Xenopus tropicalis: one gene and its partners. The protein of the gene in region 2 interacts with the protein of the main gene of each other region in a pairwise test. Links are inferred from orthologs where the notes say so. Each region holds a gene or a part of one and is shown on either strand. Other genes may lie near its edges.

Region 1 (2,783 bases), on a different chromosome or scaffold from region 2:
TGTGCCATGATTGTTTTTCTAATGTGGATGTAATTATTCTTTTTTTCCTGTTTAGACGAGCCCATTTAAGATTATGTCTGGAAAAGCTAAAGATATTGGTTCCTCTTGGACCTGAATCCAATAGGCATACCACATTAAGTCTATTAACAAGAGCAAAGTCGCACATTAAGGTAAGCTAAAGTTATATTATTTTTTTAACGTGTGTGTGTCTATATATATATATATATATATATATATATATATATATATATATATATATATATATATATATATATACATATATATATATATATATATATATATATATATACATATATACATATACATACACCAAATACTTATTATTTCTTTTGTTCTTTCTCTTTTAAAGAAACTTGAAGATTGTGACAAAAGGTCTCTGCACCAAATTGAACAATTGCAACGAGAACAGCGACATCTAAAAAGGCAGCTAGAAAAATTTGGGGTGGAAAGGACGCGCATGGACAGTATAGGGTCAGCTATGTCTTCAGAACGATCAGACTCGGACAGAGGTAACTTATACCCCATCCCCCTTTCAGTTTATTGTTTTATATCAACAGCAACAACAAAAAAATAGATTTTCTTAATAAACTGTTCATAATCTCTTTGCATTATTTTCAAAAATCTTGATTCATTCAGTTAACTCGTGCTTGGCCTAACTGTACAGTTTAACACAGTGGTTTCCAGTAGATGGTCCCTTTGTGCTGCGCTGCGGCTCAAATAATTGGAGACACACCATTAACCCTTTATCTGCTACCTGCAAATATATTATTGTGTGCATGCATTGCATGTTTGCATGCATTTCCCATGTGTTTCATTAAAGGGGTGGTTCAACTTTGTTACCTTTTAACTATTCATAATAACCTTTGTAATGGCTCTTCATTAATTATTTTTTTTCTTTTTTTTTTTAATTATTTGCATTTCTCCTCTGCATCTTTCCATTTTTTAAATGGGGGGTGTGGGGGGGGGGTCTACACACTCCTATTCATATTCTAGTCTCTCATTCAAACCATTGCCTAGCTTCTAGGGTTAAAACCTCAGTAACCATATAGCTACTGAAATACCAAACTGGAGAGCTGCTGAAAAAAAACACTGAATAACTAAAAAATCATAAAAAATCAATTGCAAATTGTCTCAGAATATTACTGGATACATCATACTTAAAGTTAATTTTTGTATTTGTCAGTACAACTGAAAGCTGTATTTCTTTGCTTTGGGTTTATTGCTGACTCCTGGTACTTTATTTCCACAGAGGAAATTGATGTGGACGTAGAAAGCACGGACTATTTAACTGCAGATCTGGATTGGAGCAGCAGTAGCAGTAGTGTGAGTGACTTGGATGAGAGGGGGAGTATGCAAAGCATCTGCAGTGATGAAGGATATTCCAGCTCTGGTCTTAAGAGGATAGAACTACAGGACAATCCCAAAATTACAGCTCTTTAAACAGCCAATCAGAGAAGATAAAAAGGGGAGGGGGGAAGGATGGTTGCGAGAGATTTCTAGCAGTTCGTCACACTACTCCCAATTGCTCTCACATCAGACACTGTTATCTATTGGCTTTCACACCATTATCTTGCACGTGAACTTGTAAACTCAGACCTTCCAGCAGTCTGTTTCCCTCCCCCCTTTTCCGAAGGAGCTGTATGGGTTTCAGTTTACACTCAATATCACTTGCTAACCCATCAGCCAAATCTACTCGAGAAGACCACATTCCAGAATCACCAGGAAGCACTCAAGAGGAAAAAACTATCTATATTATTTACTGGAAATGGTTGTTGGCTGATAAACAAGATAACAATATTCATCCAGCTGGTACCTGGTCTATTGCCGGTACAATTGGCCCAGTTAAAAGGTCATAATATCTCCCAGCAACACCAAAACTTTTTTTTTTTTTTGCTTCACTTCACATCTGGAAAATGGTATGAAGGAATATGTCAAAAGAATCTTGCTATACGGCAAGACCTTTAGTTTACAGCTACTATAATATCCAATAAGAAGCCACCAAGGAAATCTGGATGGGACTTTGAGTCTTGATTCAGTGATTTTGGCTTAGAACAGTGAGAATGCTGCTATTATATTTTTTCACAGAATCGTGCATCTAATGCACCAAACCCAGCACAGTCTAAATTGCAACGCTGGCGCCTTCTAGCCTTTATTCGGAGATCTATAAAGCCACTTGCTATGTCTATTATATTGTGTTTTTTGTTATTGGTGTCAGTCTTGCTTACTTTTCATAATCGTTATCTGTTGCCACAGCCTCTCCTCTACAAGCTGATGTTTTTTTTTTTTTTTTTTAATGATTCCATGTTTTTATGTAAACCTGTTATCATTTTGTAACTGGAATCTTACCCTTTTCTGTTCACAAGAAGACTTCCAGGCATTTTTCATTTGCCTTTCTATAGCAAGGGAAGAGTAAATTAATGGAGCCTGAAAGGTTTTTCTATATGATATCAGTGCTCCTTCTTTTTTTTCAGTGTATTTGCAGTACCAGAATCTCTTGCTGTTTTTCCCCAAATGGCAGTCAAGTTTTAGTTTTTGTTTTTATCCCTAATCTAAAGAAATTCACCTTGAAAAGAGCATGCACTACAAAAAAACTGCAAGCAGGCCTTCATCGTCCTTAACTGAACATAACCCACCCAGAATGCTAACGGTTGGATTTTTACCAGGCAGTGTTTGGGACACGCACTTTAACATTTTCGTAGCTAGATCCAAACAGTACCATTCGATTCCCCCGTTTCACGGTATAACCTTTGCAGCTGCATGTA
Region 2 (3,277 bases):
CATGCTGAAAATAACGGAGCCTTATTTGGCTTTCAAACTTTAAAATGTAACCATCAATTAGCAGAGTTAGCGTAACCAGAGATGAGGTCTGTATAAACAACCCATCCCCTTCACTCAATAACAGAGCCTTATCCGGCTTTTAAACTTTCCCACTTTACCATTAATTAGCTGAATAAAGGTGGCCATACACCTTTTGGGTTCTTTAGCTTATCTGCCGTGTATGGGGACCTCCGACAGGCCTCCCCAACCGATATTTGGCCTAAAATTGGTCAGATGTAGTTCAGGCAGGTTTGATTTTTCTGTCGGATCAAGGACCTTGTTGGCTCAGTTATGCCAAATAAATCGCATTAGCACGATATCCCCCACCCAAGGTCGGCATATCAGGGGAAAGACCACTTGTTTAGCGAGGTTCCAGTACCATGTATAGCCACCTTTTGTTTAAAGATAATAAGCTCTGTATAAACAACCCACCCCCTTCACTCTTTGTTGGACTGCTGTGGCTATGCACTGGTAATCTAACCTTCTACTTCATAAGAACCATATCTATTTGTCCTGTTTAGTTCAAGAAACAAAAACAATAAATTTTTTTGTGATAAAAACAACAGGCAGAGAGTATATCTGGCTTATGTCCTATTTGTTACACTCATGTTGAACAGGAAGGTACTGTCCCTGGAAATGCTTGCAGATTGCTAGTTTGGCTAATCATAATATCCATTTACCCTAAATGCAGCTATATCCCAACGAAGCAGCATTTCAGCTGATAACTGCTCCCCACACCATACCCAGAAGTGGCCCTTACATGGCGCATAACCATACAGCTATCAATACAAGGCAGTTGCAATTGTCATTGATGTGTGTGGGGGGGGTACTGTGGGGGCAGAATACTTACTCTTCTGCAGAACAACAGCCTTGCTGAGTTTTTGTGTTCCTATAGCGATGTCTTGCTGCTGACAGGTGGGCACGATGCACTGCAAGTCGTCGTAGCCTTTCTGCAAGATACAGGCAGAAGCCATTATTGTGGTGAGAAACCCAGGAAGAGCCCTTTACATTCTATTATAAATCTTCCCTGACGAAGGTTCCAGTAGGGAACCGAAACGTAGGACTAAATAAACCTCACCGTTTGCATTTACCCATGAGTATTCTCTTCAATATGATCGTGGAAATCCTATGAGTGCCGACACCTCTCTATGCTATTCTATTATAAATCCATATAGGAAAAAAAAAGGACCTATTCATACTAGGTGTATGTAAATGTACATGATATTTTGGGTTTCTGTACCAGCCCAAGGCACCCACAGCCCTTTAGCAGGGAAGATCTGTGCCCCCCAAGATGCCCCAGTAGCCCCCCATCTTCATTTCTGCTGATTCCCAGCACATACTATGTGCTGCTGTCACTTACCTGAGTTTAGGGACCCACTCACAATATACAGTATATATACAATATAAATGTCACAATATAAGGCTGACTAGTAATTAATACAGATCATTGCTATATGGCAGCTCTGAAACCAGTGCAATTAGCAGCAGATTAATTGGCCCTGTAGCATCAGCTTATATGACAGGCCAACCTTATTTTCTGATTGATAATTTATGATGACCCCTAAAGCTTTTATTCTTAACGGTCTCTGATACCCCCACCCCATCCTGGTCAAGCAGGACCCTATGTATGATGCCGTTGCAATATAACCTTACCCTTATAGATACAGTATCTAATAATCAAGCCCACTACACTATGGGCTGTTTACAGCAAATACATTGCAGATACAAGGGGTCACACCAAGCCCCATAGTCACTGTAGATATGGGGGCTGCCCCCCCGGCCACCATTATGTTATATCTACAGTGAATTCTTTGCAGACAGCCCTCAGTCTTCAGATTATTTCCCCAATATGTAGCCTTCAATTCTTACTTTGATGGCATCTCTTCTCTTCTGCTCAGCCTGGGTGTGTGCCCGTCTGCGTCGGTCCTTGTAGTCATTTTTTATGGTCTCTTGGCGGTCATCACTGTCCTCGTCATCTGAGGTTAGGGAACAAGCATTGTCCATCATGTTGCAGGCTACAGAAACGGTGAGGCACATAGATGCTATTTAACACCATGATAAGCCAAACCAACCATCTGTCCTTTACCATATAAAGAGAGAGTGCTGCACAGTGCCAAATTAAACTAATAGTTATCAGCTAAGAAGTTATTGATTTCTGCCCAGAAATTGCTGCAATTGCTATTTCACAGTTTGCGTTCAAACATAATTTCCTTCTCATGAGTGGTATCGAAATTTGGAGCAGAGCAGATTGACAGGGAATTTACCCCCAGCCTAAAATATAATTCCTCCTTATTGGGGGTAGAACAGTCCTATTGGGTTTATTTAATGGTTAAATGATTCCCTTTTCTCTGTAATAATAAAACAGTACCTGTACTTGATCCCAATTAAGATATAATTACCCCTTATTGGGGGCAGAACAGCCCTATTGGGTTTATTTCATGGTTAAATGATTCCCTTTTCTCTGTAATAATAAAACAGTACCTGTACTTGATCCCAACTAAGATATAATTACCCCTTATTGGGGCAGAACAGCCCTATTGGGTTTATTTCATGGTTAAATGATTCCCTTTTCTCTGTAATAATAAAACAGTACCTGTACTTGATCCCGACTAAGATATAATTACCCCTTATTGGGGGCAGAACAGCCCTATTGGGTTTATTTCATGGTTAAATGATTCCCTTTTCTCTGTAATAATAAAACAGTACCTGTACTTGATCCCGACTAAGATATAATTACCCCTTATTGGGGCAGAACAGCCCTATTGGGTTTATTTCATGGTTAAATGATTCCCTTTTCTCTGTAATAATAAAACAGTACCTGTACTTGATCCCAACTAAGATATAATTTCCCCTTATTGGGGGCAGAACAGCCCTATTGGGTTTATTTCATGTTTAAATGATTCCCTTTTCTCTGTAATAATAAAACAGTACCTGTACTTGATCCCAACTAAGATATAATTACCCCTTATTGGGGCAGAACAGCCCTATTGGGTTTATTTAATGGTTAAATGATTCCCTTTTCTCTGTAATAATAAAACAGTACCTGTACTTGATCCCAACTAAGATATAATTACCCCTTATTGGGGGCAGAACAGCCCTATTGGGTTTATTTCATGGTTAAATGATTCCCTTTTCTCTGTAATAATAAAACAGTACCTGTACTTGATCCCAACTAAGATATAATTACCCCTTATTGGGGGCAGAACAGCCCTATTGGGTTTATTTCATGGTTAAATGA
Region 3 (3,453 bases), on a different chromosome or scaffold from region 2:
ATATTTGGAGCAGCTAAAGCAACTCGTGCCTCTTGGGCCAGATAGCAACAGACATACTACTCTAAGCCTTCTGAAAAGAGCCAAAATGCACATAAAGGTACTTTAGCTAGACACGCATTCAGCTAGAATGATGGGTAATTTAGCTTGGACATGTAACTGGGGAATTCATTTGAGTTTCCTCTAGGTTTAGTAACAACCAATCGGTAGTTAGCATCTATTGATCTACTAATTAAAAACAAACATATGATTGATTCCTATGGGTTACTAGACCTGGAGCTGTCAATCGGTTATTTCCCCCACTCCCCGTCTATCTGTTTGGTATTCATCTATGGCCAATATATGCTGCTGCTGCTGCTTATCATAGTCTGTCTTTTTTTTTGTTGGTAATTCTGGTAGAAACTAGAAGAACAGGACAGAAAAGCTCTCAATGTTAAAGAACAGCTTCAGAGAGAACATCGCTACCTCAAGCGCCGTTTAGAGCAGCTCTCCGTGCACGGGATGGAACGAATGCGCACTGACAGCATGGGCTCCATTATATCCACAGATTCGGAGCAAGGTAATGGAGAATAATTGGTCACCTTGCCTATTTTGGCTCTATATAATTCTAATTATGGCTGGGCTACACTGGGCTACACTCATTTAACAAGCGATTGCGCCCTGGGAATGATGCACTCTGCACCTGGAGCTGGACTGAAAATCCGGTACTAGGTACAGAATGCAGCGTCGGGGGGCACAGGGGAGCCCTGTCCTTACTGCCTGCCCTAGGGTCCCTACACGCCTGCACCCTACTGCTTATTGCAATACATTGATGATGAACTCAGTCATCATTGTAATCATAGGGGAAGCGGCGGTTCAAAATAGAGCACACAGATGTGCGGCTATGTAATAATCACGAAAGGCCTTCTGCTAAGTAACATGTTCGTTACCCTAGTAATACTTGTCACTGAGAAATACTAAGATGACAGTTTCTGTTGCTTAAAGGTCCCCATACACGGGGCGATTCTAGCTGCTGATATCGGTCCCTTAGACCGATTCGGCAGCTAATTGGGCCCTACCGACGGGCTTGCCCAACTGATACCTGTCCTGAAATCTGCCAGATATCGATCGGGCAGGTTAAAAAATCTAGTCGGATCGGGGACCGCATCGGCTTATTGATGCAGCTCCCGGACCGATTTTTCCTATACCCGCCATTATAATTTGATCGTTTGGCCCCAGGGATTCTCCCGATATCGCCCACCCGTAGGTGGTTCATGCGTACCACCATATGTAATACAGGACACAGGAGCAGTTATTCATAGACCCATCAACATGTGTGTTTTTAAACAAGTCACCAGAAAATTCTACCTGCTGATTGGTTGCTATGGGTTACTGCACTTGGGCAAACTTGGTTCCTTTTTTACATAACCCCGTTGGTGTTCTCAGGGCAGCAGCTGAGAAGCTAAGCTTAGGGGTCATAGGAAATTATTACAGAGTATGAGGTTGGCCTGTCATATAAAGTGATGCTATAGGGCTGATTATTAAATTCTGTTTACTGCACTGGTTTCTGGGCTGCCATGTAATGTAAATCCACATAAATTACTAATGTCACAATATTGTGACATTTATATTCTATATTTACAGTATACTGTAGTGTGACATTATATTCTATATATACAGTGTAGTGTGACATTTATATTCTATATATACAGTATATAGTGACATTTATATTCTATATATACAGTATATTGTGACATTTATATTTTATATATACAGTATATTGTGACCTTTATATTCTATATATACAGTATAGTGTGACATTTATATTCTATATATACAGTACAGTGTGACATTTATATTTTATATATACAGTATATAGTGAGTGAGTCTCTAAGCTCAGGTAAGTGACAGCAGCACAGAGTATGGGCAGAGAATCAGCAGAAAAGAAGATGGGGGGGGCTAATGGGGCATCTTTGGGGGCACAGACCTTCCCTGCTACACAGTATAGTGTGACATTTATATTCTATATATACAGTATAGTGTGACATTTATATTCTATATATACAGTATAGTGTGACATTTATATTCTATATATACAGTATAGTGTGCCATTTATACTCGGTATATATACAGTATATAGTGAGTGGGCCCCTAAGCTCAGGTAAGTTACAGCAGCACAGAGTATGGGCAGGGAATCAGCAGAAAAGAAGATGGGGGGCTACTGGGGCATCTATGGGGGCACAGACCTTCCCTGCTAAAGGCCTATGGTTGCCTTGGGCTGGTACAGAAGCCCAGAAGCCCTACTTCTTTAGTTGCGCTTTAGTTCCCTTTAATGATAGCTTGGTATATCATAATTTGCATGCAGCAAGTTAGCCAATCACAGTCAGGGTCGGACTTGGGTTGCAAGGCCCACCGGGCCTCCTGCATCATGGATCCTGCAGGGTCCCCAACCCGGCATCCTCGCTGAGCGCACATAACTTTAACGCATTAGGGGAGGAACGGTCACACAATGGGAGCGCTGGCAAGGGTCGGGTCGGGTTTGGGCCGCCGGGGCCCACTGGGATTTCTCCTGGTGTCCCGGTGGTCCAGTCCGACCCTGATCACAGTGAGCCTTTCTGAGGCCATGCCAGTCCCCATTCTCAGCGTACATTTCACATCATTATCTTAGTTATACACCTAATTAATATTTACAAATGTTACAACCGATGCATGCAAATGTTATGGCTGAACCTCTCCATTTCCTCTCTCCTCAGAGGTCGATATTGAAGGCATGGAGTTCACGCCAGGGGAAATAGACAGTATTGGCAGTGACGTTGATGACCACTACAGTTTGCAAAGCGGCTCCAGCAGTAGTGGATACACACATTCCCTGAGGCTCAATTCCAGACTTTCATAGTGGCCTGAACACTGGACCAATTCAGGACCACCAAGCTGAAGGCACTTATAAAGAGAAAACAAGGAAAAAAAACTTAAAAAAAAAAAGAATTTCAAAAAAGAAAGTTACTGATATGTCAACTGCCATTTGGCAAGGGCTGAACATGCTCAGTCCCGACAAGGAGCTTTTATGTGCTGAGGCCCCTTGCATTGTAACCACACCACTACAGATTGCAACAAGGCACTATGTTGCAGGGGAGAAAAAAAGTACATTGTGGAACGGCCAAGTTTTAGCATAGGGGCACTTGCCAAGGAGAGAAGGGGGGGGACCTTGGGTGGAATATATACTGGAGCTCTTTTACCACACTGGGCACTGTTGCCGAAGTGCAGTAAACCATAGCAACCAGATTAGATATTTGCATTCAGTGTTCAGCAGACTGATCCAAGCAAGTTATTTTGGTTGCTGTGAGTCCTACAGTGAGGTAATTTTTTCCCAGTCATAAAGTAAATGAGCCCCATTGTAAGATATTAACAGCACATGTATCAAGGATATCAGCCCCCAAAATGTTTGTTAGCCCCCAACTTCTCAGTGTTGCCTTGGAG
Region 4 (3,575 bases), on a different chromosome or scaffold from region 2:
GTTAGCCCTCCTGTCCTCAACAAGGAAGTGTCCCTACCACCTGTAATTCAGCGGCCACCGGGCACAGTGCTCCCTGAAATCAAAACCACCCCTCTGAGCATGGGAAGCCCCAAGCCATTACACCATTACCAAGCTCCTGTACTGGCCATTGCACATCATCCCCTTATGCAACAGCAACAACAGCAGCCTATACAGCCTCAGCCTACAGCTCTACAGACTCCACAACCGCCTCATCCTCAACCCCTGGGTGCCCTCAGACTTCCAATAACAGATGATGGAAGGCCCAATGAGCAGCGGCGGAGGCCTGGAGGGTAAGGACTTCTTTGTGAGATACCGCAACACAATATCTGATCTCTTCAACCTACATAATATTTGACCTGATTATAGGAGCTCAGGGAGAAAAGAAAGCAGAGAGGGTATTTCTAGGGCCCCCAAACCTCATACTTCACGTTAGAGTTACCTAGCAGCAAGGGGACTTTATTTCCAGCACTGGTAGCAAGATATCGATAGTACATTGTGTAAGGTCGTTTGACAGGGACAAATTAACACTTGTGGCAGTGGGTAAGTGCAGCTATATTGCATTATATGTCATCAGAGAAATAGCATTTGTTAGCGCTGAATACATTTTTTCAGGGAACCAAATCTAAGTTCTGTGTAACTATAAAAAATATTAAGTAAATTCCAGAGAGTCCAGAGGTGTTCTGACTGTTCTGTCATAGAAATAAAACCATAAGTTGCTCATAAGTATATTTATATGTATCTCATGTTTTAACCAAAGAATATATACTTGACTCCATGTCCATCCATGTCGGTGAGCATTGTTTCCTCCAGTTTTTAAAGGGAGAAAATGCGAAATGTCTAGAACTTTCCTGGCTGCTAAATCCTATAATAATAAAGCCAAGCACTTCACTTCTAACTAGTGCCACACAGGGCGGATTCTCGGCCTGTCGATAAATGCAGGCCAAGAATCCACCCCTATGCTTAAAAAATCTGATAGTTGTGGCTGCATCTGGAGCCATTGTATTGGCCTGGGCGCAGCGACACTAAGCAAAGTTTGTTTCGAAACTTCACGAGCAAGCAGTTAAGTGCCAAATTCTGTTTAGCCAATACAATACAATGCCTCCAGGTGCAGCCACAACTATCAAGCATAGGGGTGGATTCTTGGCCTGCATTTAATCACAGGCCGAGAATCAACCCTGTGCGGCACTAGCCTTAGAAGTGAATCTCTGAGACTAAGATGCCCCAGTAACTCCCAGTCGTCTTTTCTGCTAAATCACTGCACATGCTCTTTGCTTCTTTCAGTTATCTTAGCTAGGGACCTTCTCACAATATATTTACTTTCTAAAATTCACATTCATCAGAATTGATTACTAATGAGCCCTTTAGCAACATTTCAACCTCATTTTGTACTAATGATATGATGATTTCCAGTGAAATTTTGCATTAGACAACTCTAAACAGGCCATTACTGTTATGGGGCTGCTGAACTTCTGAGCTACTGCAATAAGTTCAGTGCATAAAATATAGCATTTCTAACTATATTGTCAGTGTTTTTCGGCAGCAAATTTTTCCACCCAGATTAGGTGAAAGAGTAGCTGGTTGGGGGGAAAAAATATACCATACACTTTGAAGCCTTGCCCCAGCCTTGTCCTTGGTAATAGACATTTCCCAGAAGTGCACAATCCTATCTGCACCTGTGAAAGATTTCTGTTCCTTTGGGCAAGACTGGGTCTTGAGGGTGCATCAGAGCTCCCAGTTAAATTAGACTCGTAAGAACAAGGTTTTTAAGGCTTTAGCTCTACTTTAAGTTATCCAATAACAAAATATTACTTGTGTCCTATTTGTGTAGCCCTCAGGTTAAATGCCTTGGCAGGGTTGTTATCATTTATTTTCTTGTACTGACAACGCAAACTACCTTGGGGCAGTAAAAAGTGGAACTGAACATGATGTTATTTTAAATCAGTCTTTTCGGAAAACTCAGTGATGTAAACCTGGTTGATGTTGCAGTAGTTGTTCCTTGTATTTAGCCTATGACAGAAAAAAAGCCAAGTTTTGGTATTTTCGCTACAGCTTAATTGCAAACATGCCTTCAGTGTCGGACTGGGTCAGCAGGGCACCGGGAAAAAACCCGGTGGCCCCTTTGCTTCCAAATTAGCACTGCCTACAAAGGGAAAGGGTCTGGATGTATTGAGAATGGATAGGAAACCACCAGATTTGCTGAGGGTGCAACCCATTGCATGCACTGAAGACTTTTTGGGTGGGGGCCCTGTTAGCTTTTTTACAGAAAGGTAAACAAAATAGACAGTTTGCCAACTATACCGTGTTGATACAGGTATGGGATCTGTTATCTGGAAACCTATTATCCAGAAAGTCCAGAATTATGGGAAAACTGTCTCCTATAGACTCCGTTTTAAGCAAATAATTATGATTTTTAAAAATGATTTCCTTTTCCTTTGTGATAATTAAACCATGCCTTGTACTTGATGGTAGCTAAGCTGCATGAATCCATACCATCCTCTACTGTGAGAGACCAGCCAGCTGGACAGATCATAGATTTCTAATATTTTTCTTTGAAATTTTAATATTTATGAATGTCACATAAAACAAAGTAATATAGTTGCAACATATTTTATCTATATTTTCTTTTAACTCATATTTGTTGGTAAGGAAAAGGTTCCTTTTTTTATCAGGTGAAGTAGTTTAGATTATATAGAGAAGACTGCTTCTGGTCCTTATGGACATATATACAGCTCTGTTAGCATTATATAAATCATCAAATTCAGATTTCATAAAGTCCTAAATTTTTTTTGTTTTTTTTTTTGTTTTTTGTTTTTTTTCTTTTTGCGTGCAGGGCAGGCACCCGGGAAGTCCATAATAAACTGGAGAAGAACAGGTGTGTATTTAAGCCAGGCCCTGTTTTATTCAGCCTCTGGTTTAAGCTTCCTATTCGATTTCAGCATATCTTTCTGCCTACTTTTAAGTGACCTCTATCCACCAATTGCATGCAGAAATGCATGTAACATTGACCTAAGCTCTTCTTTTGCTGGAGTTTAAATCCATTAAATGCTGCAGGGCGCTTATAATTAATTGCTGTGCAGTGTTGCTGAACTCCATGTCTACTAATGGACTGGCCTCTTGTTTATTACAAAAACCCTGCTCTGCCAGTAGAACCTGGGATGCGTTTTCTACATTGAATAGGCTTGCCTATGACTCTCTTATGGCCACTCTGTAGCCATATAGCATTTATACAACATCTCCCAGAATGCCATGGGTGGCCGAAGGCTTCAATATGGTGCTGGGAGTTGTTCCTGCTGGTGGGTTGCAGGTTTGACTTTAGTAATATCCCAGTGGAATATCAATGTTTTTCTTCATTAGTGAGAAAAGCATTGGTATCTCACCACATCAGAGGTAGGTTACAAATGCTGTTGGGCTTTACTAGTAACATGGTATGAATTTGCGCAGTCAACTCATTCACTTCATAGCAACCAAAACATTATTTGTAGTAAATATTCTAAGGAGGTGGACCAGCTAAAAAATAAAGGATTAGTGCAAGGCTACAGCAAAGTGAAAGTCTA

Evidence for each region.
Region 1: the proteins of mlx (region 2) and mxd1 interact in a two-hybrid assay, tested with the Homo sapiens proteins (2 studies listed by BioGRID and IntAct). The link is inferred for Xenopus tropicalis from reciprocal best matches to the Homo sapiens genes MLX and MXD1.
Region 3: the proteins of mlx (region 2) and mxd4 interact in a two-hybrid assay, tested with the Homo sapiens proteins (2 studies listed by BioGRID). The link is inferred for Xenopus tropicalis from reciprocal best matches to the Homo sapiens genes MLX and MXD4.
Region 4: the proteins of mlx (region 2) and mnt interact in a two-hybrid assay, tested with the Homo sapiens proteins (2 studies listed by BioGRID and IntAct). The link is inferred for Xenopus tropicalis from reciprocal best matches to the Homo sapiens genes MLX and MNT.

Annotation. Positions count from the first base shown.
Region 1 is NC_030679.2:121,959,185-121,961,967, forward strand, and holds the end of mxd1 (max dimerization protein 1), read left to right. Parts: intron 1-55; coding exon 56-170; intron 171-370; coding exon 371-530; intron 531-1,270; coding exon 1,271-1,461; 3' UTR 1,462-2,209; downstream 2,210-2,783. UniProt on the Homo sapiens protein: Component of a transcriptional repressor complex together with MAX. In complex with MAX binds to the core DNA sequence 5'-CAC[GA]TG-3'. Antagonizes MYC transcriptional activity by competing with MYC for MAX binding.
Region 2 is NC_030686.2:6,141,055-6,144,331, forward strand, and holds part of mlx (max-like protein X), read right to left. Parts: intron 2,055-3,277; coding exon 1,909-2,054; intron 990-1,908; coding exon 890-989; intron 1-889. UniProt on the Homo sapiens protein: Transcription regulator. Forms a sequence-specific DNA-binding protein complex with MAD1, MAD4, MNT, WBSCR14 and MLXIP which recognizes the core sequence 5'-CACGTG-3'. The TCFL4-MAD1, TCFL4-MAD4, TCFL4-WBSCR14 complexes are transcriptional repressors.
Region 3 is NC_030677.2:21,432,357-21,435,809, reverse strand, and holds the end of mxd4 (max dimerization protein 4), read left to right. Parts: coding exon 1-97; intron 98-396; coding exon 397-556; intron 557-2,729; coding exon 2,730-2,872; 3' UTR 2,873-2,931; downstream 2,932-3,453. UniProt on the Homo sapiens protein: Transcriptional repressor. Binds with MAX to form a sequence-specific DNA-binding protein complex which recognizes the core sequence 5'-CAC[GA]TG-3'.
Region 4 is NC_030678.2:47,682,725-47,686,299, reverse strand, and holds part of mnt (max-binding protein MNT), read left to right. Parts: coding exon 1-311; intron 312-2,851; coding exon of another isoform or gene 2,852-2,893; intron 2,894-3,575. UniProt on the Homo sapiens protein: Binds DNA as a heterodimer with MAX and represses transcription. Binds to the canonical E box sequence 5'-CACGTG-3' and, with higher affinity, to 5'-CACGCG-3'.